Rhinolophus ferrumequinum: one gene and its partners. The protein of the gene in region 4 purifies or fractionates together with the protein of the main gene of each other region. This does not show direct contact. Links are inferred from orthologs where the notes say so. Each region holds a gene or a part of one and is shown on either strand. Other genes may lie near its edges.

Region 1 (7,374 bases), on a different chromosome or scaffold from region 4:
AAAGATAAACGGATTTATAAAGCTTCACTTGGGATTGTATATGTATTTTTCCTTTATTAATTTTATCTGAAGGTACTGATGCATTAATTTAATTGCATAGTGATTATTTTGATCTTACATCACCAAAATACTTATTCTATTTATTCCAAAACATTTTGCAGGGTAAAGCCAAGTTTGTTTTTGGTTTATTTCTGTTCCAAGTGCTCCTAAATTCAACTTATAAATTAGCATAAACTTGATAAAGCAGGCAATAATCATGAATTATAAATGAAAATATAATTATTCTAGCACTATAAGCTACGTTGTATCACTAGACTTTAAAAACTGTACCAGTCACACAGTAGGCAGTTGTCTTCACTGTAGTGGGTGCTCACTGCTGATGAAATCACCCAAGTTTGGTGACAAAACATACACCAGGGGCCTGGGCAAAACTCTTAAAAGGCACCTAAACCTAAGCAGATCTCCAGATTTTCACCTATCTGGCCATGTTCAGTGGCTCTATTGTAGGTCGTAGGTTTGACTGGTTATGAGGATGAAACAAATAAATTATTGGAATCGGATGCATTTTCCTCCTCTAGGCTGCCTGAACGAGACTCTGGTCTAGTTGGGGGCTAGTGAGGAAGAGGAGCAGGACCAACATCTAGCACGTGATCATAAAAACTCACCTACTCTTCAACTTAAGGCCTGTCAGAGGAGTTAAAAGAAAAAAATCATCAACTTCTCAAATTGCTTATAATTTTAACCTAAAACGTGTAAGAGGCAAGCTGCTTTAGGGTAACAACTATTCCCATAAATTTTTAGAAATTAAATTTGAATATCTTGTTTAATATTTAATTGTAATCATACCTTTACAATTAAATATTGTAAAGGTATGATTAAATGAAATCAGATACCTCAATAAAATCAAGACTATGAAACAAAATATAGAATCTAAGTGGTTCCTAATTCTCTAAATTTTCAGAAATATCACAGCATTCCATATTATATCAGTGTTTCTTCATTTGAAGTCAATCATGTCTATACAAAATCCAAATATAATTTTAAAAAAAGAAATTAACACCAAATATATAAAATTTTGTTTGAACTAAATACACTTTTCATATTTATTCCATAGCAACTGATCTTTTGTCTTAAGGAACAAGATTCTTAAATTATAGATTGGAATAAGACCAATAATATACAATCAGCTTCCTAACATAGCTAAGTTGATGAAATAATAACATAAAAATGAGCTTAAGGTTAACATTCCTATTCTAACAGTATCACAAAACTCATTACAAAAATAGGGTTCATTACCCTTCGAAAAGGAGGAATCCATTAAAATATAGTTGGCTCAGATTTCTAAAAAGAATATCAGGCATATTCACAAAACAAAATGTTTTAAATTCAATTTTCAAATCTTTAAATTTACTTAGAGGTCAATTTGAGACTAATATCTTTTAAAAAGCACCTTTAATTGAATTTTAACTGTAAAAGTAATAACTGTTTATAGTTTCTTTAGTTTCAAGATAGTTTAACAATACATGTTTTGTTAAAAAACAAAAACCATTTTTCCAATAGTTTGGAAGAGTCATGAAGTCTTCATCTTCCCCCACTCCGTTATCCCTAGTCTCACAGATTACCACTATGCACATTTCTCACGTATCCCCCCAAAACTTACACATACAGGTTTGTGGACATATAAACATATTTATAGAGTTTATATGAAGAACACACACATAAATAGGATCATTTTTTAAACTTAACAATAAACTTAGATATGTTTCCATAGCAGTAAATGGGCCTCTTTTTTTTTTAATTTAAGTACTCCATTTTGTAAGGATGTCCCATTATATGATAACACTCATTACTCAAGTCCATTTGGGATAAACTAGTATAATTATTGCTTGTAAAAGTCTGTAACAAATTCAATCAGGGGAAGTATTATGGCAGTGAATATTAGCTCTCTCCCCCACAACACAGTTTCCAAAGTGTTTTAAAAGTTCAAGTAAAATCTATTTTAATTCATATATCACATTTATGAAAGGGAAAGAAAAGTCACAAATATGCAACTACAAAACGGTTAGGTATCACTGTAATAATATACGAGAAAATGATCACTATGGAACTCATCTAAAATAAGTAACAAAACTGATTAACTTCCCTCAAGGCCAATCAGTAGAATTAACATTTGGGCCTTGACGGGTCCTAGATGTCCCAAGATCATTCAATGTAACATGCTGGTCTCCGCGGGGCTGCACCTGGGCCAAAATCCCGGCATGCAGAACAAAAACTAAATGATGAGCAGTCGACCTGGCCTCTCTTTTCTTCAAAAAAAAAAAAAAAAAAAAAAAACACTCAAAACTGCCAAAGGGCTGAGGCTTGCACTGACAGCACTTCCCTTTTTTTCTTTAAACCCGTTTCCTGCCTCCCGTTCAGTATCTATACAGGAAGAGGAAGGCCTCTGGGTCTTTCCCCTTTTTATACACCGGCAATCCTGGGGAACGGAGCCCTTCTCGAACATACAAACTTAGTCTTTTACCCCTCCGACCCTTTAGCCAGATTGCCCCAGCAAGAAAGCGGAGCCCGTCCCCGCCGAGCAGCGGGCGAGATCCCCATCCAGTGCCGGCCTCGCCCGCCGCCCTAACCCGGAGGGCTGATGGGGATGGCAGGCTGGGGGAGACCAGGCCGGACCCTGCCGCTCGCTCCCCACGCCCGCGGAGGCGGAAAAGGGCTGCACCGAGCCCCTTGGCCCCGGTGGCCCGAAGGCCCAGGGGTGCAGCCCCCGGCGCCGAGGGCCCGCGCGTCCCCCGCACATCCCCACCCCGACCTATGGCCACCGCGGCTTCTTGCCCGCCGCTTACCCCCGTGCCGTTGTCGCACACCACCACCTTCCTGCCCTGGCTGTCCATCGTCCGCCCGGAAGAGAGCCGCCGCTGCTGCCGCCGCACAACCTACAGCCGCCGCCTACAGCCTCCGCCGCCCGGCCTTTTCCTCTTCCTCCTCCTCCCTCTTCTCAGCCCCTCCTTGGGCTCTGTTCTCTTCCCCAACCGGAAGTCGCCACCCGGCCCCGCCCCGCCCACGGCCTGCGCGACACAGGCGGGTAAGGGAGAGGAGACGGAGATTGGCAGCGGTGAGCCCAAATAAGAAGCGGAGGAGCTCCAAGTCCTGGCTCGCAGCTCCGGCTCCGGCTCCGGCTCCGGCCCCGCCCTCACGGTTGCTGCCTACTCGGGTGATGCTCTCTGCGTATGGTTTCCGGCGTTTAACGCAGCCGAGCTGGTGGGTGCTGCAGCTTTTTTCCAGAGTCGTCGCAGGAGTTGAGGACACTCTTACCTGGCTGCAGAAAGCGCAGGCAGGACAACGGGTCTGTCGCGAGATGGCAGTGGAATGTGGCGAAGAAGGCAGCCCGGAACGGGAGCAAACCTGGAGGTCCTTGCCAATCCCACTTATTGAAAATGGCTCTGTGTGCTCTCGATTCTAGGCCTTTTCAGCTGACAGAGCTGGAATGGATACACACACGTATTTGACATCATGCGGTCATAGATACTTCTAATTCCAGCCCAATCCTTCTTGGCTCAAATTGCCCTTAAATAAGAGTGGGTGCCTACATTTCCAGCCTCATCACACACCACCTACCCCTTCTCTCAGCACCATGTTGCTTTACACTTCTTCAGAATACATACCTACTTGAACCCAGAACCTTGGCTTTAAAATAAACCCCCGTTTCAAATCTGACCCTACCACTCAAGAGTTTTGTGATCTGGGCATCCCCTTATCTGTGCCTGCGGATAATATGGTTGTTGTGAGGATAAAATTATGTGTGTGGAGTAAGCATCCATTCAGTGGTAACTTTTGTCAACCAAACTCGCAAAAAGTCAGGAGACTTTGGCTATAAATGACAAAAAGTTGCTCAAGGTCTTAGGGTTTGCAAACTGAAAACACAACTAACTAGTTAATACCCAGAGTGTTCCAAAGGAGAAAGAAAAGGTGAGTTCTTACAGTAAAAAGTACATTCTTGAGAACAATCAGTCATGCATATTTAGCCTCTGGGTTGGTCTAGGATGATAATCTTCCACGTGTCTGGTGGTCTGGATAATGGAGCATTCTTTCCTGAGTTGTTCAGATGGTTATCTGTGGCAGTAATGTACATCCAGGCATTGACACACAACTGAGAAATTTAAAAGTTTAAGTCCTCAGGCTAGTTAAAGCAAGAATAGAAGCATTTCCTCATGCCTCAGATTACTTGATTCTCGTAATTTAGCAGCTTGACCATCATGACTCCATTTTATTTCTTCACTTTATTCCTCACTATGTTTCATACTTTCAAACATGTAGTTCTATCTTTAATGCCCCTATCTTTTTTCATTTTAATCAATGGGGAGACATCTACTCATGCTCTACGACCCAGTTGTCACATCTCTGAAGATTTTGCTGATAACCCTTAAGATGCTTTTTACTCCCTTTATTTACTATTACTTTACCATGGATATATGAATAACATTATTGTGTTTATTGCACTCAACAAATATTTATTGGATAGATGACATTAAAATTCATCTAAAAAAAATGCCATCGTTTTTCAGAGGTAAGAACTAAAACTGTGCTTTCCAAATGGCTGTACATGACTAGAATAAAACTTGGATCAAGAACCCCCCTCCCATCCAGTATTACAATACTAGGCTGCCTCTCAGTTTTAACTTTGTTCTTTCAAACCTTTATAAAGGCATAAAATGCTTTCTTCAAATTTAACTTTATATGGGATCCCAAAATATAAAATAGATCAAAGTACAGCTGCCATAGCTATAGTTGGAAGTTTGAAGGTTAGGATGGGTAGGAGAGGAGGCCTCAGGGGAATATGTCTTCCCTACACCAGTTTCATTGCGGTACCTCACCCTGCTGAACAGTGCATTAAGTTCATAAATTATACGTCTGACTTTTGTGGCCCCAGTGCCTAGCACTGTGCAGTTTTCCTGGGAGTACATTTAGTTGGTCTCAGCAAATTGAACTCATGCATTTCTATATATTTTTACTTTCTCTCTTTATGAAATTAAATGCATTACTAATTTTTACTTTTTAATAAATGGCTTCTGTTGTTTTCTTCTGACTATAAAAGCAATATACGCAGATGATAGAAAATATCAACAAACTACAGTAATGAAAATGTAGCAAAACTTTTGATTATGCAAATTTAGGTGTAATACTATTGGTGACTGTCTCTGACCTTCTAGACCAAGTGCATTCTGGTCATGTCACTTTCCTCAAAATAATGTGATCCCACATTTTAAGCGATTGAATTTTTTTTTTTTTTTGAGGAGGGCTTCATTTCTAGCCTTCTGTTCAGATTTTATGTAAACTATTCCACACAAAAATATTGCTAGGCAAATATTGCCATTTTACACATGAGAATATGGGGGCTTTAAAAAATTAAGTCTGGAATGAGAGACGTCATCAAAATGGCGGCATGAGGTGAGCCTCTATAAATCTCCCCTGGAATTTACAACTAATCGAACAACTATTACTCCACAAAGGACTCCCTGCATAGCAGACAGGCAGGACGAAGAGGCCCACTACTGAATTCACCTAAGGGTGGGCGAATCTCATGAGCTGGGGAGGAGAAAAGGGAGAAGTGTGGAGATGGAGCTGGATGGGCACAGGACGCAGACCTAACTCAGTCTTCCAAGCTCGCTGCATCCTGGAACTGCCGCGGCTGCGGGAGAGGGAAGAACTCGGACTGCTAGGGCTCTGCTTATGGCCCACAGGGCTGAGGGGGCAGCATATAACATGGCTGAACCCAATGCTCACGGCAGAGACCTCGGAGCAAAGACTGAGGGAAGAAGGCTGAAAACGGTGGCTTAAGCCCTCACTGCCGAGCAGAGAACAGAAGCCTTAGGCACTAAGACTAGCCGCCCCCCTCCCTACCCTTCCAAAGTTCACCCTGCCCCCACCTGCCCAATGCTAGAAGCGGTATAGTAGCAATGTCAGATCAAAAGAACAGAATAGTACCTGAAATCTATGTAATTTTACTAACAGTTGTCACCCCCATAAATTAAAAAAAAAAAAAAGAACAGAATATTTGCTGTTCTGAGAACTGTGGACCGCAGAAACAGATTCGCAGCCCAACTAGTTCCGGCAAAGGGGAGGGAGCAGTGGAAGCAGGACCGGCTGTGTGGTGTTCGCCGCCATTCTCTGGGCCACCTCTCACAACTCACCCCGCCCCTGAACGCACCTATCTGGGCAGATGCCTGCAGGAGTAAACAGAACTGCTGAAACATACGGGCTCTGAATCTGGTGCAAGAAGAGCTTTGGAACTTCAAAAGTTCTCCGCATACCCACACGGACACTGTGCCCTGTGACCCAGGCGAACTATTAACAGAGGAGAAGCCCATCTCCCAGGGAATCCCCCCATTGTGTGAGAAGCTGGAATAGTGCAGAGAAAACATAGCACTACCATGTGAGAGAGAAAAAAAGGCTGCAGTTGGAGAGAAAATAAAATTCTATCAACTAGTACTGGAAAACAAAAGAAAGACCTCGTCCTATCAACCTGTTGCAGAAGCCACTCCTGTACATGTCTAGGAAGAGAAATAATAAATCAATAATTGTCATGAATAACCAAGGTAACAAGACAGCTCAGAAAGAAAGTCGAAAGTCTCCAGAAAAGGAACTTAAAGATATGGAAATATGTGATTTAAATGACAGAGAATTCAAGATTGCAGTTCTGAAAAAACTCAACGAGATGCAAGAAAACACAGAAAGGTAGTTTAATGAACTCAGAAACACAATCAAAGAACAACATGAGTATTTTATGAAAGATATTGAAATTTTAAAAAAGGACCAAACAGAATTTCTGGAGATTAAGAACTCAATAGAAGAAATTAAGAATGAAATAGCCAGCTTAGGTAGTATAGTTGACCAGATGGAGGAAAGAATCAGTGACATCGAAGATAGAAACCTGGAAATTACACAGATGGAAGAAGAGACTTGAGACTTAAAAGAAATGAAAGAACTCTACAAGAACTTTCTGACTCCATTAGAAAGAGCAATATAAGAATAATGGGCATACCAGAAGGAGAAGAAAGAGAGAAGGGAACAGAGAATATATTCAAACAAATTGTCAATGAGAACTTGCCAAACTTGTGGACAGAACTGGATCCTCGAATCCAAGAAGCAAATAGAACACCTAATTACCTCAATCCCAACAGGCCTTCTCCAAGGCACATTATATGGAAGCTGTCTAAAATCAAGGACAAAGAAAGAATCCTCAAGGAAGCCAGGGAAAAGAAGACGGTAACCTACAAAGGAAAGTCCATTAGATTATCATCAGATTTTTCAGCAGGAACGCTACAAGCCAGGAGTGAGTGGAACCAAATATTCAAACTATTGAAAGAGAGAAATTAT
Region 2 (7,237 bases), on a different chromosome or scaffold from region 4:
AATGCTGCAGCAAGGAAAGGATGAGCAGCATCTGGCGCTGGACCACTTGGTCTTCCAGTGAGCACGCCATACAAGGGACTTTCCTTCCCCAAGGCCCCTGCGTGGGGTGGCGTGGCTCACCCTCCCTGAGTCACGGGGGCTCCGCCCAGAACCCACAGGCCCCCGCCACTCCCGCTCCCCCTGGGCTCCAGCGCCTGGGGTTCCCCGGCCACACCCCAGCCGGCCGCCCCAGCAGCAGCGGGAAGGGGCCAGATCCTAAGGGCGAGCCCTTGGACAGTGCTGCTGCGAGGTCTTTGAGCGCGTGCGCCACACTAGGGAAGTGGCCCCGCAGAGCCCGGACCCTAGGCCAACCTTCAGGCCGATCCCCAGACCTCCTGCCCCAGGACGGCCTTTCTGCTCTGCTTGGCCCTGGCCTGTGCACCTGCATCCTCCCGTTCGCACCGCTTCCCCTCCTCCCTCCTCCACCCAGGAGGAAATGGGGCACTGGGCCAGGAGGCCGCCAGCACTCCAGGAGCAAGCAGCCTTGGCAGGGGCCGGCCCGTGCCAATGGGCACTGGCAGAGAGTGCCGTGTGATGCATGCAGAGACAGCGAGTGTCCGCCTGGGGTTGCCGTCCACCTGGGGCACTGGGGGTTTCCTCTCCAGTCTGAATGGCCCCTGAGCACAGCGTGACCCCAGGAGATGGCCAGGCGTGGTCCCTTCCAGACCCAGAGTGGCCTGCTCGGGGGTTCCAGTAAGACTTGGCAGGCTCTGAGCCCCTGGGTCTGGGTGGGCTGCAGTGCCTTAGCAGTGCAGAGTCCCTCCCCACCAGGACCGACCGGAGGGCCAGAGGACCGAGGGGGGCAAACCACAGAAGGCTGCCAAGGCCTGCTGAAAAACCTGGACTGTGTCCAGAGGGCAACAGGGAACTATTTGCTCAAAATTAATTTTCTGGTAGATAACTCTGGAGACAGTGGGGAGGCTGCTGTAGGGAACTGGAGACCAGCAAGAGGCCTGTTGGGGACACACTGACACCCTCCAACCAAGAGAAGCCAGCCTAACCATGGCTTCATCCCCAGAGTGGAATCACTCCTCCCAGTTCTGTGTACCCCCCCTCTCCAGGATGCTCCTTTCTTTAAGTCTCTGTCCCTCCTGCTTGATTCTTAGATTGAGCTGCAGACTAGTAGCAATTAAGTTATCATCTGCTAAAGACCAGTGGGACAGAAAGCCCTGGTTCAGCCAGCATGTCATGTCCAAATATGGCTGGTTGACTCGTGCATGACTCAGGGTCAGCATTACCCACGGTGGTCCCAGCTGGCATCTCCCCTGCCCTCCAGCACACTCGCTTCAGGCTGCCTGTCACCCCACTGGTTTTTCCTCACCAATGGTGGTGGTAGGGACTCCAAATAACACTTTCCAATCTGAGGCCCACCTGTGCACTCTCCCCTCTCCTGACCACTTTCAACCATACCTGCACAAAACCCCATACCACAGTGTCTAGGAACTGGGGTGGAGGTGGGAAGGAGAGCTGTGAAGGGGGAACCCGGATGGACCCCTCTCTGCCAGGCCCCATTCAAGACGGGCTGAGTGGTCCTTCTGCTCCCCCTGCCCGACTGGAAAGCATGTGTCCCAGGACAGCATTACATCAAGAATTGATTTTCTTTTTATAATACTAAGTGCCATCCCACTGGGTCATCGGTGTTCATTCCTTAATCTTCAGAGAGCAGGGAAACTGAGTCAGTAACTGACCAGTAGTCAACTCCAGCAGAAAGGGAGACAGAGCTGGGTGTCCTGGCTTCCAGCCCTCGGCTTCCCCTATTTGGGGGAGACAAGTGATAGGGGTGTAGAGGGCTCTTGTCCCTAGGGGACATAGTATTACCACCAGATGGCGCCCCATCCCAGAGCCCCCAGATCAGGCAGTCAATCCTTGGGAGCCTAAATCCAGCTCTTTCATATTTTCCCTTATTTGGAGTAGATTCTTGGATGTTAAACATACCCCGCCCCCCACCCCACAGCTGGCCCTCAGACCCCAGGCCAGACCCTCCCACAGGGGCACGTCAGCTGGTGAAGCAAGCCTCAAAATGGCACGGTGAGAAGAGACCTGGGCCGCCAAGGCAAGTCCAGGTGTGGCAGGTGAGGACACTCATTTCCTGAGCTCCCACCTTGACCTTGCAGCCTGGAGCACATGCACGTGGGCCTGCCAACAGACTTTGCCTACTTTTCCTGGAGCCGGGTAGCATGAGAATCTGGGCACATTGCAGCTCACATCCTGGCTGGTGGTGAACATCCAGCTCAGAGCCAACCTGGGACAGGGCCCAGGGCTCAGCCCAGGAATCTAGCCCGTCCAAGGAGACGCTGCTTCCTGTGCCTGGCCACAGCCCTGTCCTGGCCCCCATGGAGTAGAGCAGCCCCAGAACCAGCTCCCCTGTGCCCAAGGCAGCTGATGCCAAGGACTGGTGCCAGCGAAGAACCCAACACTGGCTGCAAAGTGTCCTTCCAGGTAGCCACTCACCCTCAGCCCACACTATGTCCTGCTCCAAAGACAGTCCTTCCCAGTCAGTCAGTGGCCAGCTCACGAGCATCCATGCGAGCCCATATCCTGCCAAAAGCTCAGACACCCTCTCTCAGGAATCCCCATGGCCTAGGGCTCCCACACTCCTGGGTACAGACACAGCTTCACAGGTACACTAGGGAAGGGAACCCCTGGACACAGCACTTCCAGGCGCAGGGGGCTCCTCCACTGCGCTCACGCACCCCAGCTGCACCTGGCTTGGGCCTGCGTGCCCGCCGGCGCCTACATTCTCGGGACTTCTCCGCTCGCCTTCGCCACCCCCGCCCCGGGTCCGCGAGTAGCGCGGTGACCGTCTCGCGCGGACCCGGGCCGCGGAGGCCTGCCTCACCTGCTGTCCCTGTGGGCGGCCCACAACCGCAGGGTGGCGCCCCGCTCGCCTTTGCGCCCGCGCCCGGCGCCTCTGGGCTCCGCTGGCGTCCGCTGCGCGCCGCGCGCCTCCACGCGAATGGGCCGCCGCTGCCCGCCTTCTTGTTGGCCGCACCCCCGCCCCGCGCCCGCCCCGCGCCCGCCCCGCGCCCTGCTGGGCGAAAAAGCCTTAATTGGTAAAATCGCCCAGTGGCCGGGGGGCGGGGGCGCGCCGTGAGCTCAGCGCCCCGGCTGCTTGGTGACGCTCCCCACCCCCCACCCCCCACCCCCGATGAGCTCACCACCCGGTGAAGGCTGCCGGGGTGATGGGGGGAGGTTGCCTCAAGTGCCCGTGGGGTCTGCAGGGCTCACGTCTCAACCCAGCTGGAAAGGCCACCTCCTCCAGGGAGCCACCCACAGTCACTGCCCCTACCTTTGCCCCAAGCCTGGGCTGGCCAGTCAAATCAGATTCTGCCCTCTGGGGTGGTGGGGACAACAGATCTTTGCAGGTGTGTTTCACTGAGCACTTACCACCCACAAGGCCCCAGTGGGGCAGGGACCTGAGTCCACGGTGATGAACAAGCAGCCTGGCTGCCACTGATTTGGCCCCTGCCTGGTGCCAGTCCAGGGAGGGGGCAGCAGAACAGTGGTGAATTCCTAGGCGCACAATCAGATGCAGTCCCAAAGCCTGAGAGTGTACAGTGAGGTGCAGCCAAAGAGCCAAGTGTTTGTGAGCCGGGTGGCACAGACATGCCCTGGCACTGCCAGGCTCCCTCTTCCTCTTCTGCCCATTTCCTGGTAGTTTCAGATTCAGCTCAAATGTCACTTCCGAAGAAGGCCACATAAAACATGTGCATGCGCACACACAAACACAAATAATTAAAACAAACATTTCACAAAACAAGACTCTCCCTTAGTACCTGCAAAGCTCTTTGATATTTTCCATTCTACTCCATTAAAAGAGAGGGCGAGGGAAGAAGGAAGGAAGGAAAGAAATAAAAATGGAAGGAAGAAGCTTGGTCACACCTGCTAAAAGAATTTGGCGATCTACAGTTTACCAGTAACAGGAAGGCGCTGATCACCCTCCAAGCTTCCCTACAGCCACTCCTGCCTTTGCTAGTGGTAGCTCTGCTTTGACCTTTCCACCTTGACCCATGGTGGGATCTCCTAGCAGTGTCCGGATTTCCAACTCTCACTGCTCCCTCTGGTGGGACCCGCCCACCACCACAGCTGAAGAGGATGGTGGGTTACCATCACTTGATAGAGGAGCGACCTGAGTTCAGGTCCATAAGGTGGCTGTGCTGGAGCTCATGGCCAAGGCTATCCTTCAAGGAGGGAAACCCACCTACCACAGGCATTGCCATGTGTACAAGAGCTGGGGGACACGAAGGAGGCGGGCCACGTGCCTGGATCTCAGGACGCCCCACCTCCATGTGAATCCTCTCTTCCCACTACTGCCTCTCTCGCCCTCCACACACACCCCTGAAATACACACAGCTCTTGGTCTCTCCTTCTTCCAGGTATAGGGGGAACGAAGGTTTGTACAGCACCAACTGTTCCCTGGTAATAACCGTCATAAATGAAAGACTTTTTCTCCTTGTGTTGAAGGTTTTGGAAAACCACTAGAATCAGCTCTATTGCTGCTGCCAAGGCAGGCTCACTCTCCAACTGGCTGTGCCAACGGCTCCCACATGAACCGATGCTTCTAGGGTTGGAACATGAGGCATTCTTTGAGAGACTTTAGGTCAGCTAACTATTCAGTGTTTTATGTTGATTGTGACAATCATCCACACATACATTTTCACAATAATCATCATCTTATGACTTTTGTTACTACCTGAGCAATGTTTCAAAGCATTCACATACCAGGTAAAATCCAAAGGATCTCTAACATCCTTGAAGAGAAGTTTAGTACTAAAGTATAAGAAGATTCTGATCTTACAGAAAACATTAATAACTCAGTGAACAATCATCTCCTTGGACATGGATGCTGAGAAATATATTCAGGTTGATATTCTTTTTCCTTATAACTTTCAATCTGGCTGGGATTGCAAGTTATACAATATAGTGCTTAGAAGCCATCCCCTCTGTCCTTAAAGGAGAAACTATCTTACTCTTGATTTGGAGTCGGCGGCTTCCTAGCCCTTTCCACCCTGGCTGCAGTACCACAGAAACTCAGCTTCTTTAACTCTGCCCACCCTTCCCAGGAAGACTCCCCTGGAGGCCTCAGATTTTCCCCAAAGCCCCGCTGAGGACTTGGAACCCCTGCTGTGCCAGACTGTCCAGATTATTGACCTGAGGATCCGGTACTGGCTGAGGGAACAGTCCATGAATGAATTGCAGTACTCAGGGCCCTTGGACAAGTATCCTCCCTCTCTGGCCCCCCAATTCCTCCTCTTCCTGATGGGGGTGCTGCAGAGGGACTCTCAGCTCTGATGGTCAAGGGTTCGTCCTGGTTCCTGGTGGTCTGGGATGGGTCTGTGCTGCAGCGGGGCTGGTCGTGGGTGCCAGGTAGCCATGGGGTGAACGCAGGGGACCATCACAGTTCAGCCTCCTGGTGCCATCGATGGTGGGACCTCATATTGGGACAACTGGCGTGGGACATAAAAAGCAGAGTGCCGAGGCAGGTGCCAGGGAGGGGGTGTTCCTTGGGGAGAAGGCAAACCTAGAATTCCTTGACCTCATAAGGAAACAGCTTAGATGTGTACAGGGAGGGGTGGCATGGGGGAGGACTGAGCCGCTGGGACATGGGCCAGCATTGCAGAAGAAGGCTTGGAGAGGTGCTGGGGAATCCGATCTTGCCAAAACTCAAAATTCCATGAGGCAGCCTCGAGTGGCCCAGACCCCAACGCCATTTCCCTCCCTGCTCTGAAGCCATGCATGCACGTGTCTGTGACCTACATACTTCCTCCTCATATTTTAGGGGACAGAGCAGACCTCACCTTTCCTCTAACAACCCAGACAACAGCAACTCTTCTGAGAGTCTTTGTGTGTTCCCAAACCACAGCCCCACCTCCTCACCACTCCCTGGATGGCTGCCTCTTCTCTACCCCATAATCAAACCTCCATGGAGAACTGGTCTGTGACCCTCACCAGCTGGCTCAGCCAGCCTGGGTCTGAACCAGAGCCCTCCTTACTTCTGCTTTCCCTGTCACCAGCTATCATCTATAAGACCAGGGACAGCACCTCATCTCCCCATTCTCCCAGTTCTGGGCCTGCCCAGGGAGGGGCATCTCAGCTGGCCACACACTCCATTGGCTGTCTTTGTTTACAACATGTCACCTCCTTTCCAATCTCCACTGGACAGCTCTTTACTGACCAAGGCCCTTACCAACTCCTAGTGACCGTCCAGGCTCTTCAGCAGGCCTTCGCAGCCTTCTGTGGTTTGCCCCCCTCGGTCCTCTGGCCCTCCGGTCGGTCCTGGTGGGGAGGGACTCTGCACTGCCAAGGCACTGCAGCCCACCCAGACCCAGGGGCTCAGAGCCTGCCAAGTCTTACTGGAACCCCCGAGCAGGCCACTCTGGGTCTGGAAGGGACCACGCCTGGCCATCTCCTGGGGTCACGCTGTGCTCAGGGGCCATTCAGACTGGAGAGGAAACCCCCAGTGCCCCAGGTGGACGGCAACCCCAGGCGGACACTCGCTGTCTCTGCATGCATCACACGGCACTCTCTGCCAGTGCCCATTGGCACGGGCCGGCCCCTGCCAAGGCTGCTTGCTCCTGGAGTGCTGGCGGCCTCCTGGCCCAGTGCCCCATTTCCTCCTGGGTGGAGCAGGTAGCGGGGGAAGCTGTGGGGACCGAGGGTGCAGGTGCACAGGCCAGGGCCAAGCAGAGCAGAAAGGCCGTCCTGAGGCAGGAGGTCTGAGGGTCGGCCTGAGGGTCGTCCTAGGTTCCGGGCTCTGCGGGGCCACTTCCCTAGTGTGGCGCACGCGCTCAAAGAGCTGGCAGCAGCGCCTGGCCAGGGACCCGCGCTGTCCAAGGGCTCGCCCTTAGGATCGGGCCCCTTCCCGCTGCTGCCGGGGCGGCCGGGGAACACCAAACGTTGGAGCCCTGGAGGTTGGGGGATGGGGGCTGTGGTGGCTTGAAGGGACCGGGCGGAGCCCACGTAACTTAAGGAGGGCGAGCCACTCCAAGCACCGCGGCCCCGCCCCGCTCCCACGTTCTGGCCGGTTCCTGCCAGTTCCACTCGCACGGCCGTGTCCCTCCTCGCTTCACGCCCGAACTCGCCAGCCGGTGACGTTTGGACTCTGCGGCCCCGCCCCGCTCCCCTGTCAACGCGAGTCTATGCTGTTTGCCCTCGCGTGCAGGCCCCGCCCCTCTCTCCCGTCTAGCCCAAACGCCAC
Region 3 (7,453 bases), on a different chromosome or scaffold from region 4:
GGGGCCCTGGAGAAACACATTGTTCCCCAATATTCTCCAATTAAAAAAATTTTTTTTAAAAAGTCAATCTAATCCCACTCCTGCGCCTACAGTCACCAATGCTTCTCTTTGTACTGGTGGGGGGACCCTCCCGAACATGACCTGGAACCCCACTGTGTGACCTGGCCCCTGCCTCCCTCTGAAACCTCACCTTGTGCCTTCTGCCCATCGCTCCCTTACACTCGAACCCCCCGATTTCCCTTACTCCCAGGAACACATCAAGCTCTTTTGTGCAGAGGATTTTGCACATTCTGATTCCCCTGCCTGAGGCCCTCCCCTGCAACCTCTCCGCCCAGCTGGTTCCTTCTGAACTCTTCAGTCTCAGAGAGGCCTTTCCCTAGCAAAGCTAGGACTACCCCCAGCGCCACCCCACTTCACTTGGTCATGATTTTGATCCCTTGTGTGTTTTCCTTGATAGTAAGAATCACAACCTTCATTGGTCAGAAGTTACCTGCTTCTTTGTTTTTGCCTAGTTCCTGGGTCCATGAGGGTGGGGCCTGGACTATCTCATTCCTTGGTGCTTCCCACAGTGCTTAGCATGGAGCAGGTGCTCAACCCAGGTTTGCTGAAGTGACTAATTAAAAGAGAAAAGTGTGAGGCTGACACTAAAAGATGAGGCTGGAAATAGAAAGCCTTGGACACAGAGTCCTATTCATCTTTGCAGGATTGGCACCTCCACAGAGAAGCCACTTAGCAAACGTGTACTGGATGAATGAAAGCATGACTCAGATGAATCTGAAAAGTGCCCTCCTTTTCTGGGCGAGGCTGCCAAAGGAGTTCCTCTCTTCCTTGGGACTTCTCAGGAGGGAACATGTCTGGGGTATACAACAAGTGCTCAGTAAATGTTAGCTGTCGTTGTCATTACTTTTTACATGGGGATCATTCATGCATCCCATAGAAAAGGCTTGTTCTGGGTCCCATGCCAGACATAGTGGCTGGGAGAGAAGTGAGAGAATGAAACACGGGAGGGAAAAACAAGAATGAGTGTCAAGATCCGTCAAACATCACTGAGAACTTGGAGGAAAAATGCAAGAACAGCACTGTTCCAAGTAATATGGTTCCCTTCTTTCTTCTAGACTTGAGCCACCTGGATGCAGTGTGGAAATGCCAGCTGGGAGGTGGTCCTCCTGAGGAGCTGAGGGAGGGCCCCATTTGAATGCACACATTAGTTTGAGGCCTGCAAAGCTCCGACTGATTTTGAGAATCTGGCTCACTGTAGCTGGTAAGCACTGGGGAGGTGGAGAGAATTTCAATTTCCTTCACCAAATGGCAAGCTTGCGAAAAAGTCCTTTCCAACATGATCACATACTAAAAATGAAAAACCAGCCATTCGAAGCTCTCATAAGAAGGAAAATAGATGGGCTGCTTAGCTCACAAGATACAGGAGGGCTGAAAATCAAGTCTGGAGAACATCACACGGCACATTATGTGCTAAGATGCTGCCCTTTTTTTGGACTCGGAAGTTTCTATTTTTCACAAAAGAATGGGAGGGAGAAAAGTAATTCTCTATGTAATAAGCCACCCATTTTATATTCCAAATCCTTTCAGTGGCTGAACAGCAGCAAGGGTTAGGAAATTTATTTTAACTTTCTATCTCTAAATATGCAATTGGAGGTAACTGCATATCTCAAAAATAGCAGCAATAACAGATAGACAGAACCAGAGAAGGCACTAAAATAGGGATGCTTAAAATGCAAAGAAGACATATTTCCCTATGTTTCATGGCTGACAGACCATAAGCTGACATAGTGAGGGGAGCACTGAATCCGGGGTCTGAAGGCTGGCCAAGTGACCTTGGGTAAGTCCTGCCCCTCTCCCAGCCTCATTTGTACAAGAAGGGACTGAAACAGGTGTTCCCAAAGATCCTTTTTCTTTCTAAACTGTTACTATTTGAGGCTCCAAAAGAGCTGCATCTTCTTGCTTTTACATTGGCCCTCCAATTGCAAAATGGAAAGCCTTGGGGTAAAGGTTGCAATAGAGATAAAACTGGCCCCACTACTGAATTATGTTTTATAGTCCCAACGTGCCTCAGCACTGCAGCCTTGCTGTCATTCCAGAATCAATTATGCCAAGACACCATAACGGAGTCTATGGGAAAAGTGAGAGAAAGTTCTTGTTCTTTCTGATTAGTGCAGGTAAAGCTGGGGTCACGTTAACGAAAGTCTGGACTAGCTCTTCCATCCCCTGCCTAGTGGAAAAATAAATTATTAAAGGAAACCCCTCAGGACTGCCCAGAACTCTCGGGATGTATGAAACCGCACGCAGAATACCAGACGCCGGCGAGTTTCTTTTTTTCTTTTTAACTTCATGTCGCTCTCAGAAAATGCAGCAGGTCTCAAAACGGTACAAGCGTTAACCCATAAGCCACTTCCCAGTCTTCCCGGAGCAAACACCAAGCCGGAGTGGGAATCTTTTTTTTGTTCCCCTCTTTCCTTTCATTTGCTTTTAAGCAAGTGGCCTGGGGCCTGCAGGGGCAGCGCCCCGTCCAGGCCGGGGCCGGCGGCCTTCCAGGAACGGCGGGGAACTTTCCTCTCGCCGCGCCAGGGAGACAATGCCAGCGCCCGCGCTCCGCGCAAGGAGGGCGCCCCATCGTTTGGGGCCAGGCCACTCGGAGCGCTGTCCCAGGCCCCTCTCCGGAGGGCATGCGGAGTCCCCACCCCGCCCCACCTGGGCGCCTCCTCGTGGGATCAGACTCCCGGGGCCCTGCTGAGCCGGGGGCCCGCGCCCTCCCCGCGGACAGGGACACTCCACTGCGAACGGAGCCGGGAGGCCCGCCCAGCTCACGGCTCCGGCGCCTCTGCGCGAGGGGCCCGGGCCGGGGACGCCGACGACCCAGAGAGATCCCGCCGAGCCTGTCCCGAGCTCCGCGACTCACCGGGATCGGGCGGGCCGCTGGGCATTATTCCATCGCGGAGTTCGGCGCCAGCTCCCCGGCGACGGCGCAGACGCCGCGCCGGGCTCCTTCAGCCCGGCGATCGCGGCTCTCGGAACGGAACGCGGGGCGAGGCCGGGAGCTGCGGGCGGGGCGGGGGGCGCGGGCCGGCGTGCCCGAGCGCTGAGTGCCCGCCCGCGGCGGCGGCGGCGGCGGCGGAGGCCAGGCGAGGCGCGGGAGGCGAGCGCGGCGCAGGAAGGGGCGGGCGACCATGTGCCGAGGGGAGGAGGGCCGCAGCGACGCGCGCGGCTCGGACGATCCCGCTCCGCGGCGGAGGGCGCGGGTTTCAGGAAATCCAAACACTTCGACAGGAAATCGGAATCCTGACTAAGCATTCCGTCCGGCCGCTGCTCCGCGCCGGGGGGCTCCCGCCTCGCTTAACCCTTGGCCGGCCGGCACGCAGGCGGGGGGACAGGCGGGGTCTCCGACACCCGGCGGGGGCTCGGGCGGGGGCTCCGCGGGGGCCCCGCGGACTCCGTGAGCAAGCTGGGCCGGGGTCCGGGCGCCCTTCCCCTTCCGACCTACTCCCCCTCCGGCCTGCCTGCTCCTTGCCCAGAGGTGTAAGCGGCGGGATTTGTCCGGGATAAATCCTTGACCTTGGGAGGTGCCTTTCTAAGGCCCCCAACTTTAGGAAAGGGCCTTTGCCTCTCTCCCATCCAGTAGAGGATGAACTTGCATGCTTCCAAGCCGTTTCCCGCATTTTCAATAAAAGAAATGAGTTTACCTGGCTGCCCCCTTTCACTGCTAACGCTCTGCTCATTTCCTCAAAATTTGCCCAGTGCCAGGGGCCAGGAATTTTCTGGTCAGAGTAGTATAGGATAGGACAGTGATTCAAGTTGGAATCTGGCTTTGGCCTTTTTCTAGCTATTACCTTGGGTAAGTCACTTAACTTCTCCGAAGTCTATACTTCCTCATGTGACATGGGTAGTAATAACCACCCTCGTGGTTTCATTTGGAAACCCAAAGTTTAGGCAGGGACTGACATATTGTACATGCTCAAGTAAATGATAGCCGTGATTGTCCTTATTCCTGTAAGTGACATCAGAGAAAGGAGGGTTTTAACACGTGGAGTGTGTACCCTGCACATCTATGCCTACTTAGAAAGCCTTAGAACTTCATTTCCCTCCTAATCACCAAGTGATTATTTTTCTTTGCAGCATTTCAGAAACTGCTCTCTGCAGAGGAAACGGTTTAGTGGCTATGGCAGACCCTGTCCTGGAGAAATCTGAACTCAGCAAACCTCACAGAACTGAGAATTTTGCTCTTAACCTAAGAGTCAGGACACTATGGGGGTTTGTAAAAAAGTCTGGAGAGACTTTACAGAGTTTGAGAAAACCAAAGTAAACCTCTGTCCAGTCAGGCCTGGACTAGGCGGCCAATGGGAGTGATTCATTGTGGTTTCCCACAGAAATGCCACATTTGGGGTTTTTTTTACCTGGAGGATGCAGCATGGTGGTTTTGCTGTAAGTATTCAAATTCCTTTGAAACCCAATCAGACTTTGAAGCGGGAACAACATGCCCATGAGTGAAAACCAAAGCTTGAAATGAACCTGCTGAGAACCCAAAGGTAGGTATCAGCTCCCTCTATTCAAGAACCAGACATCAGTTTTAGACCCAGTCTTGTCTCTTTTTCTGCAACTCTTTCTCAGGGGCCAGAAGTGGCGGGACAAGCTCAGGACTTGGCAACAGGAGTCCAGGGTCCTGCCCAGGCCCTTTGCAGCAGCTTTTCCCCCAGCCTAGAAGAATCTCTGCTTGGCTGTTACTGGCATTCAGCTCACAGCTCAAAAGCCAGCTGATCAAATGGTTCCCCAGCCATTTGATCTATTTGCCTTTGGCAGCTATACTTCCTTCCCCAGCTCTCCCGCACGTCACATGCCCTGTTTCATAGCTTCATAGCCCTTGTCACTATTAATGTGTTCCTGTTGATCTGGTTGCCTATTTATCATGTCTCCCTATTTATCATGTCTCCCCCTGCATGGGAAAACTCCATCAGAGTGTCTCCATCACTCCTGGATCCCAGTGCCAAAGACAGTGCTGGCTCATAGGAAACTCTCAGTAAAGCCATGTCAAGTGAATGACAGAGGTGAACGAGATGCAGGTTGCAGGTTCACTCAGCCCCTTAGCTCCCTGTATCTTCTGCTTTGGCAGAGAGGCTCTCAAATGGGAAAGCCCAGTGTAATGGAAGGAGCACCAAACGGCTCTATTAGTGGTTCTGGAAAGTGGAAACTACAAGTAATTAAGACTGTCAGACGACTTAACTACAGTCTCATTGGTACAGCCCCAGTTAATTGCTCCCTCCTTTGTGCTCCCCCAGCACTTCTGCTCATTTAAAGAACCTATGTATCGCATTATATGCTTCATGGGTGAGTGTTCTCCTAAGATGGTGAACTCTTTGAGCGGCAGGGGAAGGAAAGGAGCCTACATTTATTGACCACTTACTCTCAGCGGGGCCCTGGGCAAGGTGGATTTGAATTCATGAAAAGGCCGTGGTTAAGTGCCTATATGTGCTCAGAAACCTTCTGGGCACTAATTGGCAAAGCTAAACTGGCTTTGCTCTCTAAGGGAAGACAGACAAGAAGAGAGACAGCAGAGAGGGGCTGCTAATTCGGACTGAGGTCTGTCCGGGGCGTCATGGGGCTGCTCGGAGCATGGGGAGCTTTCCGAAATCAGCACTGTGGGGCGTGTCTTGGTCCGTTCGTGCTGCTGTAACAGAATACCCTAGACTGAGGGACTTCTAAACAACACACACTTATTTCTCTCAGGTCTGGAAGCACGGAAGTCCGAGATAGGTGTGGCCAGATTTGGTGTCTGGTGAGGACGCTAGTTCACAGATGGCCATCTTCTCACTGTGTCCTCACATGGTAGAAGGGGTGAGGGCAAGGGTGCTCCCCAGGGTCCCATAAAGGCACTAACCCCATTCACGAGGGCTCCACCCTCATGACCTCATCCCCTTTCAAAGGCCCCACCTCCTAATACCATCACTTTGGGGAGTAGGATCTTAACACATAATAGGGGGCGGGGGCACAAACATAGCAGGAGCTTAGAAACCACAGCCAAGAAATGGATGCCCTTGAACTAAGTTTCGAGGAAGAAGTGGGGCTTAGCTAGCTAGATGAGGGGGCAGAGGCCTGCCAGTCGGAGCAAAAAGCGCCATGTGCTGGTGAAGCTCAGCTCTGTGTCCCCTGCACCCTCCTCTGAGCTCACCTGCAGCTGCGATTTGTGTTATCTGATCAAGGAACTGTCTACCTGAAGTGCACACCTCTCATCCTCTCTGCCTGGGAACTTTCTCCAGGGCTATGGGACCGTGCCCACACTGCAAGTGCCCAGCAGCTCTGGGGCAGCCCCCAAACACTCAGTGGATAAATGTCCCCACCTCCCATCCCTATGGGGGAACAGTTCTAAAGTGTTTCCGACAGTTTCTCTGAGATCCCCAGTGGCACTGAGTCCAGCCGCCCCTAGCAGCAATGCTTTCCTTAACCCCCTCTGCTTTTCCTCTCTTCCCTGCTTCACTTTCCCACTCCCTTATTTGTTCTTCCTGGGATCAATCACCTCCCAAATAACCTAACTGCACCCACTTCCTTTCCTCAAGATTTCCTTCTGGAGAAATCCAATCCAGGATATCATTCACTCATTTATCCACAGATATTGACCAAGCACCCCTAAGTGCCTGAGCTAAGACCGAGCATGACAACATAATATGTTTGGGTAACGCTACGAGGTTCAGCATGATGTGAGAAAATGGTGTATGATTAGATGTGGAAAGCGATGAGACTAAAAAGCTTTGTACCATTTTACAGTTGAGGAAACTGAGGCATGGGAGTGTTGAGTCACTGGCCCAAGGCCAAACATTGCATAGAGGAGCTTTATGCATTGGAGTCCAGGCCCTTAATCACCACCCTGCTGCCTTTCTTGGGAGTCAAAGCTATGGGTGCAGGCTGCCAGTGAACCCCCATAGGGAATGTGGAGAGTGAGAAGGTACCAGGATCAGGACTGGACCCTGAGGGATAGCATAGGTAGCAGAGGAAGAGGTGCCTACAAAGAAGGCTGGAGGGAGTGGTCAGCGAAGGGGAGTGGAGGGAAAACCTGGATCAAGGGACGAAACTGCTTCTACAGGGAAGGGATGGCCAACACACTCTAATGCCCCCAGAAAATTCAATCAAATAAGGATTGGAAAGCAGGTGTCATTTTATCTGACAGGAAGCTGATAACTTTTGCCGGAGCTGTTTCAATGGAGTGGAGGGATTGGAAGCCAGATTGCAGTGGGCTGACGAGTGGGAGACAGCAAGTGTAGACAACTCTCTTCAGACACGTGGCCATCTAGCTAGTGGGAGGTAAGGGTGGGGGGTTCTTTAAAGAGGGTGGGCGAGTGAGCATCTGCGGTTGATGTCAGGTCCCAGGAGAGTGAGAGAGGATGAAGACGAAGGGCCAGGTCACTGATGGAATGGGTCCTGAGAGTGAGAGGTGACGGGATCTGGAATGGTG
Region 4 (7,491 bases):
AGAGAACAAACCTTTCTTTCCGGCTGAAGATGAAACGCTGTTCACAAAAGTCTGTTTAAAAAACGGCAATCCAATGAGGGATTTCCAGGCATCTGGGAATGATTCCGTCTGTAAAAAGATTAAGGGTGAACAGCTCAGAGGATGTGTGGACAGGTGCTCTGGGCAAATCCTTATGTGTGGAGATCCCTTTAGAATACCTCTGAAATCTTCCCAAACAACCAGGTTTTATAAAGAAGTCTGAGAGGAGGATGAGCAATTGGCATTTTACTCACCAAAAAGCTCAACCGCTTTTCAGACACATTGAGAGACTACAGAAAATCAGAAGTTTCAAAGTTTTACAACCGTATGAAGTGTCTTCTTAACGCAAACAGAAATTATTCCCTGAATTGGTGGCACAGACATTTCCTGTTTGCTATCATCCCGGTAAGTTTCCATTTTTAGTTCATTCTAATTCATGACATTGCTAAAAATAATAAAATTCTATTACTGTGAGTTTTAAAAAAAAAACAATGTAAGGAAAAGACTCCATGAAGGGGTCATAATGTGTGTGTGTGGGGGGGGTTAGGGGCGGAGGCGATTACCGCATGAGATCAAGACGCCAGCGCCCTACGCCACAAGCTCCCCAAGCCACTAACGCACGGCCTCTCCCATAGGCCTACACCCCGGCCTCGCCTGGAGGCCGTACTGGTAGACAGTGCACAGCAGACGATTCAAATCCCCTTGTTCCTGGGACACGCCAGTCACAGGCTGGAGCCCCTTAGGTCAGCAGCAGCTTGTCAGGAATTCGGAACTGGAGGGAGGGAGCTCTGTTGGCCCTTCCTGTGCGCCCCTCAGAAGCTCTCACTTGTGCAGGTTGCTCAGTACAGTCTGGGTACGGTCGTCCGCACTGTAATCAGCATCTATAAAACTACCCAAGAGCCACTAGTGATAGGCTCAAACCTAAAATCACTTATTACCCTCTCAATACTTTAAATGAAAAAAAGATAAGACCCCTAGCTGCCATTAATAGTGCACTGGCAGTAAACCTTCCTTGCAAACGTCACCCGTACAAATCAAGCTGCCCAAGTGGGAAGTGATCTTGCACTTCCACATAAACAGAGTGAAAAAGGCCTCCAACCAGCAGTGCGTTAAGTGCAGAACTGGCTTTCCATTGAGCCCACTATCTGGTGTAGCAGAAAACCAACAGCCACAGAGCACGAGGCCATTCCCTACGCCAGTCACTCAGAGGAAACCCCTCCCTGCGCCCCGCTCAGTTCACTCCAAGTACCTGCCTGCACCCTGACAACTGAGAGGCAGGGCCTCTGACAGGCACTTCCCAGCTCCAGACCGGCCCAGGACAAGGCTGTCGCAACACCAGGCAGGCAGTCCCAGCGCTCAGCTCAGTGACTCACGCAGCCGTGCACTCTGAGCACCTACCGTGTTTCCCCGAAAGTAAGCCCTAGCCAGACAACCAGCTCTAATGGAGCAAAACTTAATTTAAGACCCGGTCTTACAAAGACGCATTAGAGCTGGTTGTCTGGCTAGGTCTTATTTTCAGGGAAACAGGGTACTGCACACAGCCTGGACCAAAGGTCTGACTCACCAATTCCCCTGACTTCAAAGTGATTTAAAGGTAAGTTCAGCAAAATGCTTCAACTAAGTCAGCTTTCGTGGGGGGTAAACTTCAGTTACTGGGGGAGAGCATCAAAAAACCACTCTGCGCGACCCTGGCTCTTTCTGCTGGGGTCTGAAAGTCGCCTTTGGGGCGCTTCCTTGCTCCCAGAGTGTGTGGGGGCAGGTTCCTCCCCAGGACTGCCTCAGTGCGCGGTGACTCACCGCGGTCTAACACAGGAATGGGGGTAGGAGCGGGACCCACAGCCCTTCCAGCCCTAGGCGAGCCTGGCTACTACGCTGGATCACGAGCTCTGGATCCAGCTGGATCTAGCCCCCTGACAAAGCCGGAGGGCGGGGAGGGAGCAAGTGAACTCACAGCCCAAATGCGTCACCCAGGAGCCAGCAATCATTCCCAGCAGCTCCAGAGCTGTGACCAGAGGAAGACGGAGTTCCCCCGTGAGGCCGACAGGCCCTCAGATTCCACTGGGAGGAAGCCTGTCCCCTCTTCACCTGAGACGCTCCAGCAGGAGAGCAAGCTCCCATTGGAATATTCAGGCGACAGAAACACAACAGAAACACCAAAAGCACCTTTCTGGTGACTTCCAACACACCCAGTGCAGGGGCTGTTCCAAATTTAGAGCCGCACAACGCGCTGCAGCTCCGCGTGTCCATGCATTTCCATTGACCTGATTGCAAAACCTGCCTGTAGGTGTGGCCCCTCCCAGGCGGACAGCGACCCCTCCGTCGCCAGTCCCACTGGATCCGAAACCGACCCTTAGGAGCCCCAGCACCTTCCCCCTCGGCTTTCCACACCTTTCCCCTAACCCCGGGTGCTGGGCCGCGTCCCCCGCCCCGTGGGCCCGGCCCCTACCTCCACCCTCTCAGACCTCCGGCCTCTTCCCCCTTGGACACTAAACCTCTTCCCATCTGACCCCTCTCCTCCCCGCTTCCTCCAGCAGACCCGCCCCCTTCCTTCGGACCCCGGCCCCCTCCCTCCGACCCCGGCCCCTTCCCTCGGAACCCCGCTCCTTCCCTCCGACCCCAGCCCCCTTCCCTGAGCCCCCCGGCCCCTTTCGAGCCCCCAGCCCCCTTCTCTGAGCCCCCAGCCCTTTTCCCCAGCCCCCAGCGCCCTTCCCCGAGCCCCCAGCCCCCAGCCCCCTTCTCTGAGCCCCCCGCCCCCTTCCCCAGCCCCCAGCCCGGTTCCCCAGCCCCCCGTCTCCTTCCGAGCCCCCCGCCCCCCTCCCCGAGCCCCCAGCCCCGTTCCCACAGTCCCCGCCCGCGGCTCGGGGAAGCCTCGCCCGCGCTCCCCCCGCGCCCGAAACCGCGAGCGGAAGAGCGGCGAGACCGCGGCGGCCGCCGCTTCCTTCCCGTTTCGGGGCCTGGCGGCGCCCGGGACCACAATAAAGGAACCGGCCCTCCTCGCCCGGCGGAAGCCGCACTCGCTTACCGCCACCTGGGGTCGGTCCGGCCCGGCTCGGCCCTGGCTTCGCTACGCCCGCCGCTCCCCAGCTCGGGCTGCACTTCCGGTTCCGCGGGCGGGGGCGGGGCCGCGGCCGCATCCGGGTCCCGGCGAGGCTCCGCCCCCGCCCGGCACGCCCCTCCCGGCCTCGGGTCCGCAGCCGCGGGAGCCCTGGTGACTGCGCGGCAGCCGCCGCAGCTGTCGGGCCCGAGCTTCCTGGCGGCGCGGCTCCCTGCCGCCTCCCTGGGCCACGTGGCACGGCCACCGCTAGCGCAAGCGCGAACCCGCCTGGTGCGAGCCTGCAAAGCATGCTTTAAAACAAAGTGCTCATTTCTGCAGGGTAAATGTACAGAGCTCCCGTCGCGTGCAGACAATCGAGGTGGTATTCCAGCACTGCCCTGGGTGAAAAAGGGAAAGTGAGCCAAGCGTAGGGTCAACGCAAGTGCCTAGAGCCCTGCGGACTCCCTCACAGGTGACTTCATCCTCCTCCACACGTCCTTCCATCCGTCACCCACACATCCATCCATCCATCCATCCCCCCTCCATCCATCACCCACACATGCATCCATTAATCATCCATGCATCCGTCCATCCAAAAAAGGCCAGGTATGTGTTAGGGATAGAAGGTCAGCAGAACAAAATGGGCCTTTTCCTCACGGCCCTTGCAGCCTAGAAGAGAACTAAGGCATTAATCGCATAGATGTATAATTAGGAAACAAGATAAATGCTATGAAGAAGTCTAGGATGTCATGAAATTATACTGAAGAGAAGGTAGGACCTGAACTCCTCCTGGAGATCAGAGAAGGTTTCTTTGAGCAATTAAATGAACATTTGCGTCAACATCTAAAGGCCAAATGGGAATGAACGTAGTAAGAAGAGAAGAATTTTCCAGGCAGGAAACGTCTTGCCGCAGAGGAACTGAAGGAAGGTCGGTGTAATGGAACTGTGGAGACGAAGCAGGGCAGTGCAGCGCGACGGGGCCGGGTCATGTAGGGGTTGGCAGGGCACAGCAAACTCCCTCACAGACAGTGCCATGTGAGCACTGGCTTTTGTTTTTAAAGACATAGGAAGTCCTTGGAGGAAGTTAAGTAGAGGAGAGAGATCATCAAGTGTGTATTGTAATAAGATTCCTCTGGCTGCTGAGCCGGGAATGGTTGGGAAGAGGGCCAGGTAGGAGGAGCCTAGTACAACCACTTCAGGCAAACTTTTGGGAGAAGGTAAGATGGAGAGAAGGGAGTAGACACAGGAGACATTTAAAAAGTTAATAAATAAATTAATTAACTAAATAAAATAAATAAAGGTCACTGCTTAAAAATGAAAAGCAAAAAAATAAAAAGTAAAAAAATAAAATAAAAAGTTAAATTGTTACACTTGAGAATGGATTGGGGGTTTGGAGTGGGGAAGGAGCTGTCAGGTGTCAAAGGATAATTTTTTTTTTAAATATAAAGTCACAATTTTCATACACATATAAAATGAACACGTCAAAGATTTATGAGGTCTGACAAGTTCGCAAACTTGTTGCAATGATGTTGCTAACCTCTTTTATATCAGAGAGATTATTCATTATTAATTTAACTAGACAGTTAACCAAGTTTCCTATTTGGAAGTGCTGAAAAGGCTGCATGAAAAAGTTAGACGACCTGAACTTTTCACCAACAATTCATGGCTCTTGCATCACGACAATGCACCAGCTCACATGGCACTGTCTGTGAGGGAGTTTTTAGCCAGTAAACAAATGACTGTATTGGAACACCCTCCCTACTCACCTGATATGATGACTTCTTTCTTTATGCAAAGATAATGGAAATATTGAAAGGAATACAGTTTGATGACATTCAGGGCATCAAGGGTAATACAACAGCTCTGATGGCCATTGCAGAAAAAGAGTTCCAAAATTGCTTTGAAGGATGGACTAGTTGCTGGCGTTGGTGCATAGCTTCCCAAGGGGAGTCCTTCGAAGGTGACCACAGTGATATTCAGCAATGAGGTATGTAACAGTTTTTCTAGGATGAGTTCACGAACTTCATTAGCAGACCTCGTAATAATGAGTGAAGCAATAAGGTGTTACAACTTTTTCAAAGGAAGTCAAAGAAATGCTGAAAAGAATTTGCAAAAACTGGTCTACCCATACGGCAATAGTCCATTGTATTTCACTAGACCCGGCTAATTTGCATGTCTGTGGACAAGAATTATTTGCATTGCTGTCTGTTTTCTACAGGTTGACTGTTTCCTCTACAGAGGTATGAGATCGTCTAGACTGAAAAAAAAGGCAGGCATTCTATAGAATCAGCTGGTTGTCAGAGGCTCCAGCATTTTCGAAGGAATGTCCAAAAATCACTTTTACCATTGTAAAGTCTGAAATTTTTCCTTACGCAAGGATGACTCCTAGCATCTGAGTCAATTCTCAGACAAGGAAAATTAGGGGCAGGGGGCGACGCAATAAGATTGAGGGGAGAGAGTGAGAATACAGTTTTGGACTCGGTACGTTGATGGGCCTGTGACACATCAAGGTGTGGTCCTCGAAGTGATGCTGGAGAGAAAGCTTTTCAGCTGGGGCGTTAAGAGTAAGTAGGGTTAGGACATAAAAGGTAGGACGGGGCTCCCAGGGGGAGGGAGAAATTCAAGCAAAGGCACAGAGGTGGCAAAGAATGGGGTGTGCACGGGGGCACAAGGTCAGACAGAAAGAACTTAAGCATTTTCACATCCATCATTATTACCGGCAGTGCAGTGGTGTGTGCAGCCAAGCAAAAGGCAAGACTCGCTTTCAGTGACAACTTTCATGGAGCGCTTTAGTCACTGCCTGAAGACAGGAACAGGTGCTGTGCACAAAGGCTCTGGAGGCTGAGCACCTGCCTGAAAACCCCAGCTCCACCGCCTACTAGCTGTGCGACAGTGGACAGTCTCACTGCCTTTCCCTGCTTCAGTTTCGCTATTTGTGCAGCTAGCACCTGCATCCTGGAGTTGTAATATGAAGACCACATGTCGTTTGGTTAGCACAGGGCCTGGCATGCAGAAATGCCCAGTGAGTGTTGGCCTTTAGCTGGCAATAATAGGAAGAGAAAGCCCTGGCAAGCCTGGCAAGATATGTCCATTTTACTTGAGACGATGGAGATCAGAGAGGCTGGATGCCCTACTTGAAGCCACACAGCACGCGGGTGAGACCTGTTGTGACCCACACCTGTGGCCTGGGATCAATTATTCAGAACACCCTCTTTCACTTGGGAAATTGTGGATACCTCAGTTCGGCCCCCAGGGTCCCCTACCTCCAGGTACAACTTGTGGAGGGAGCCTCCTCTAGTCTCCAAGGTGCTGCCCACGACCCAGGCCTCAACCAATCAGCACATTGTACTCCTCTAGCGTTGATTGGCTCAGGGATGGGCACGTGCTCCAACTTGGTCCAATGGGAGATCATTGAGGCTTCCTGGAGACAGGAGACAGGGCCCATCACACACCCAGAGGGAAGAAGAGAAAACGCAAAACAGAATACTTTCCACTTAAAATGAGCCTACAATATAAATTCCAAAGCAAATTCTAAGAACTAACATTAAACGAGAAAACCAATACAATGAACAATGAGAATGTGAATTATTAAAGTTGAATTTCATGTTGTAGCACAATATGGGTATGATTTAAAAATATCAATGTTTTGACAAGGAACATTTACAAAATAGTCAAAACTAATAAACAAAAACAGGCAGTTACGAAAACTTATGTAAAATCTCACTCAGGTGCTACAGACTCGATTGTGTCCCCCACTCAGATTCATATGTGGAAGCGCTAGTCTTCAGTGTGATGGTATTTGGAAGTGGGGCCGTTGGGAGGTAACTAGGTTTAGATGAGGTCATGAGGGTGTGGCCTCCATGCTGAGATTTGTACCCTTGTAAGAGACACCGAGAACTTGCTTCCTGTCTCCATGTGAAGTCACCGCAGGAAAGTGGCCGTCTGCAAGCCTGGAATGGAGCCCCTCACGAGGGAACCTAATCGGCCGGCACCTTCGAGTTAGCCTCCAGAATCGTGGGAAATAAATTCCCATTGTTTCAGCCACCCAGCCTGTGGCATTTTGTTACAGCAGCCTGAGCCGACTAATACAATGTGGGAAATATGGTTATTGAAATGAAAAACTCGATAGAGTATGTTAACTCTAGATTTACATGGTTAAGGAGAAAATTGGTGATTTGGAAGCTATTACCAAGGGATAGCACAGAATAAAAAACAGATTCAAAGCAATAAAAAAAAATAATAAGACACAGCATGTACTTCACATGGAAGATTGAGAGACTATAATCTGTATTGAACAGAGTTCCAAGAGCAGAGAATGATAGAATGGAGAAGTGATAGCTGGGGAAATGATAGGTGAGAAATTTCTGTAATCCAAGAAAGATGAGAGCATTCACACCAAAAATGCTCTCCAATTCAAAGGGTGATATTTATAATAAACA

The links.
Region 1: the proteins of CTTN (region 4) and ACTR2 purify together in Homo sapiens (affinity purification with mass spectrometry; 3 studies listed by BioGRID and IntAct, with this or other methods). This does not show direct contact. The link is inferred for Rhinolophus ferrumequinum from reciprocal best matches to the Homo sapiens genes CTTN and ACTR2.
Region 2: the proteins of CTTN (region 4) and FLNA purify together in Homo sapiens (affinity purification with mass spectrometry; 3 studies listed by BioGRID and IntAct, with this or other methods). This does not show direct contact. The link is inferred for Rhinolophus ferrumequinum from reciprocal best matches to the Homo sapiens genes CTTN and FLNA.
Region 3: the proteins of CTTN (region 4) and ASAP1 purify together in Homo sapiens (affinity purification with western blotting; 6 studies listed by BioGRID and IntAct, with this or other methods). This does not show direct contact. The link is inferred for Rhinolophus ferrumequinum from reciprocal best matches to the Homo sapiens genes CTTN and ASAP1.

What each region holds. Positions count from the first base shown.
Region 1 is NC_046296.1:24,869,823-24,877,196, forward strand, and holds the start of ACTR2 (actin-related protein 2), read right to left. Parts: upstream 3,027-7,374; 5' UTR 2,892-3,026; coding exon 2,844-2,891; intron 1-2,843. UniProt on the Homo sapiens protein: ATP-binding component of the Arp2/3 complex, a multiprotein complex that mediates actin polymerization upon stimulation by nucleation-promoting factor (NPF).
Region 2 is NC_046284.1:6,248,844-6,256,080, reverse strand, and holds the start of FLNA (filamin-A), read right to left. Parts: upstream 3,022-7,237; 5' UTR 2,879-3,021; intron 1-2,878. UniProt on the Homo sapiens protein: Promotes orthogonal branching of actin filaments and links actin filaments to membrane glycoproteins. Anchors various transmembrane proteins to the actin cytoskeleton and serves as a scaffold for a wide range of cytoplasmic signaling proteins.
Region 3 is NC_046297.1:65,564,366-65,571,818, forward strand, and holds the start of ASAP1 (arf-GAP with SH3 domain, ANK repeat and PH domain-containing protein 1), read right to left. Parts: upstream 3,093-7,453; 5' UTR 2,915-3,092; intron 1-2,914. UniProt on the Homo sapiens protein: Possesses phosphatidylinositol 4,5-bisphosphate-dependent GTPase-activating protein activity for ARF1 (ADP ribosylation factor 1) and ARF5 and a lesser activity towards ARF6.
Region 4 is NC_046294.1:2,980,730-2,988,220, forward strand, and holds the start of CTTN (src substrate cortactin), read right to left. Parts: upstream 3,186-7,491; 5' UTR 3,041-3,185; intron 109-3,040; 5' UTR 12-108; intron 1-11.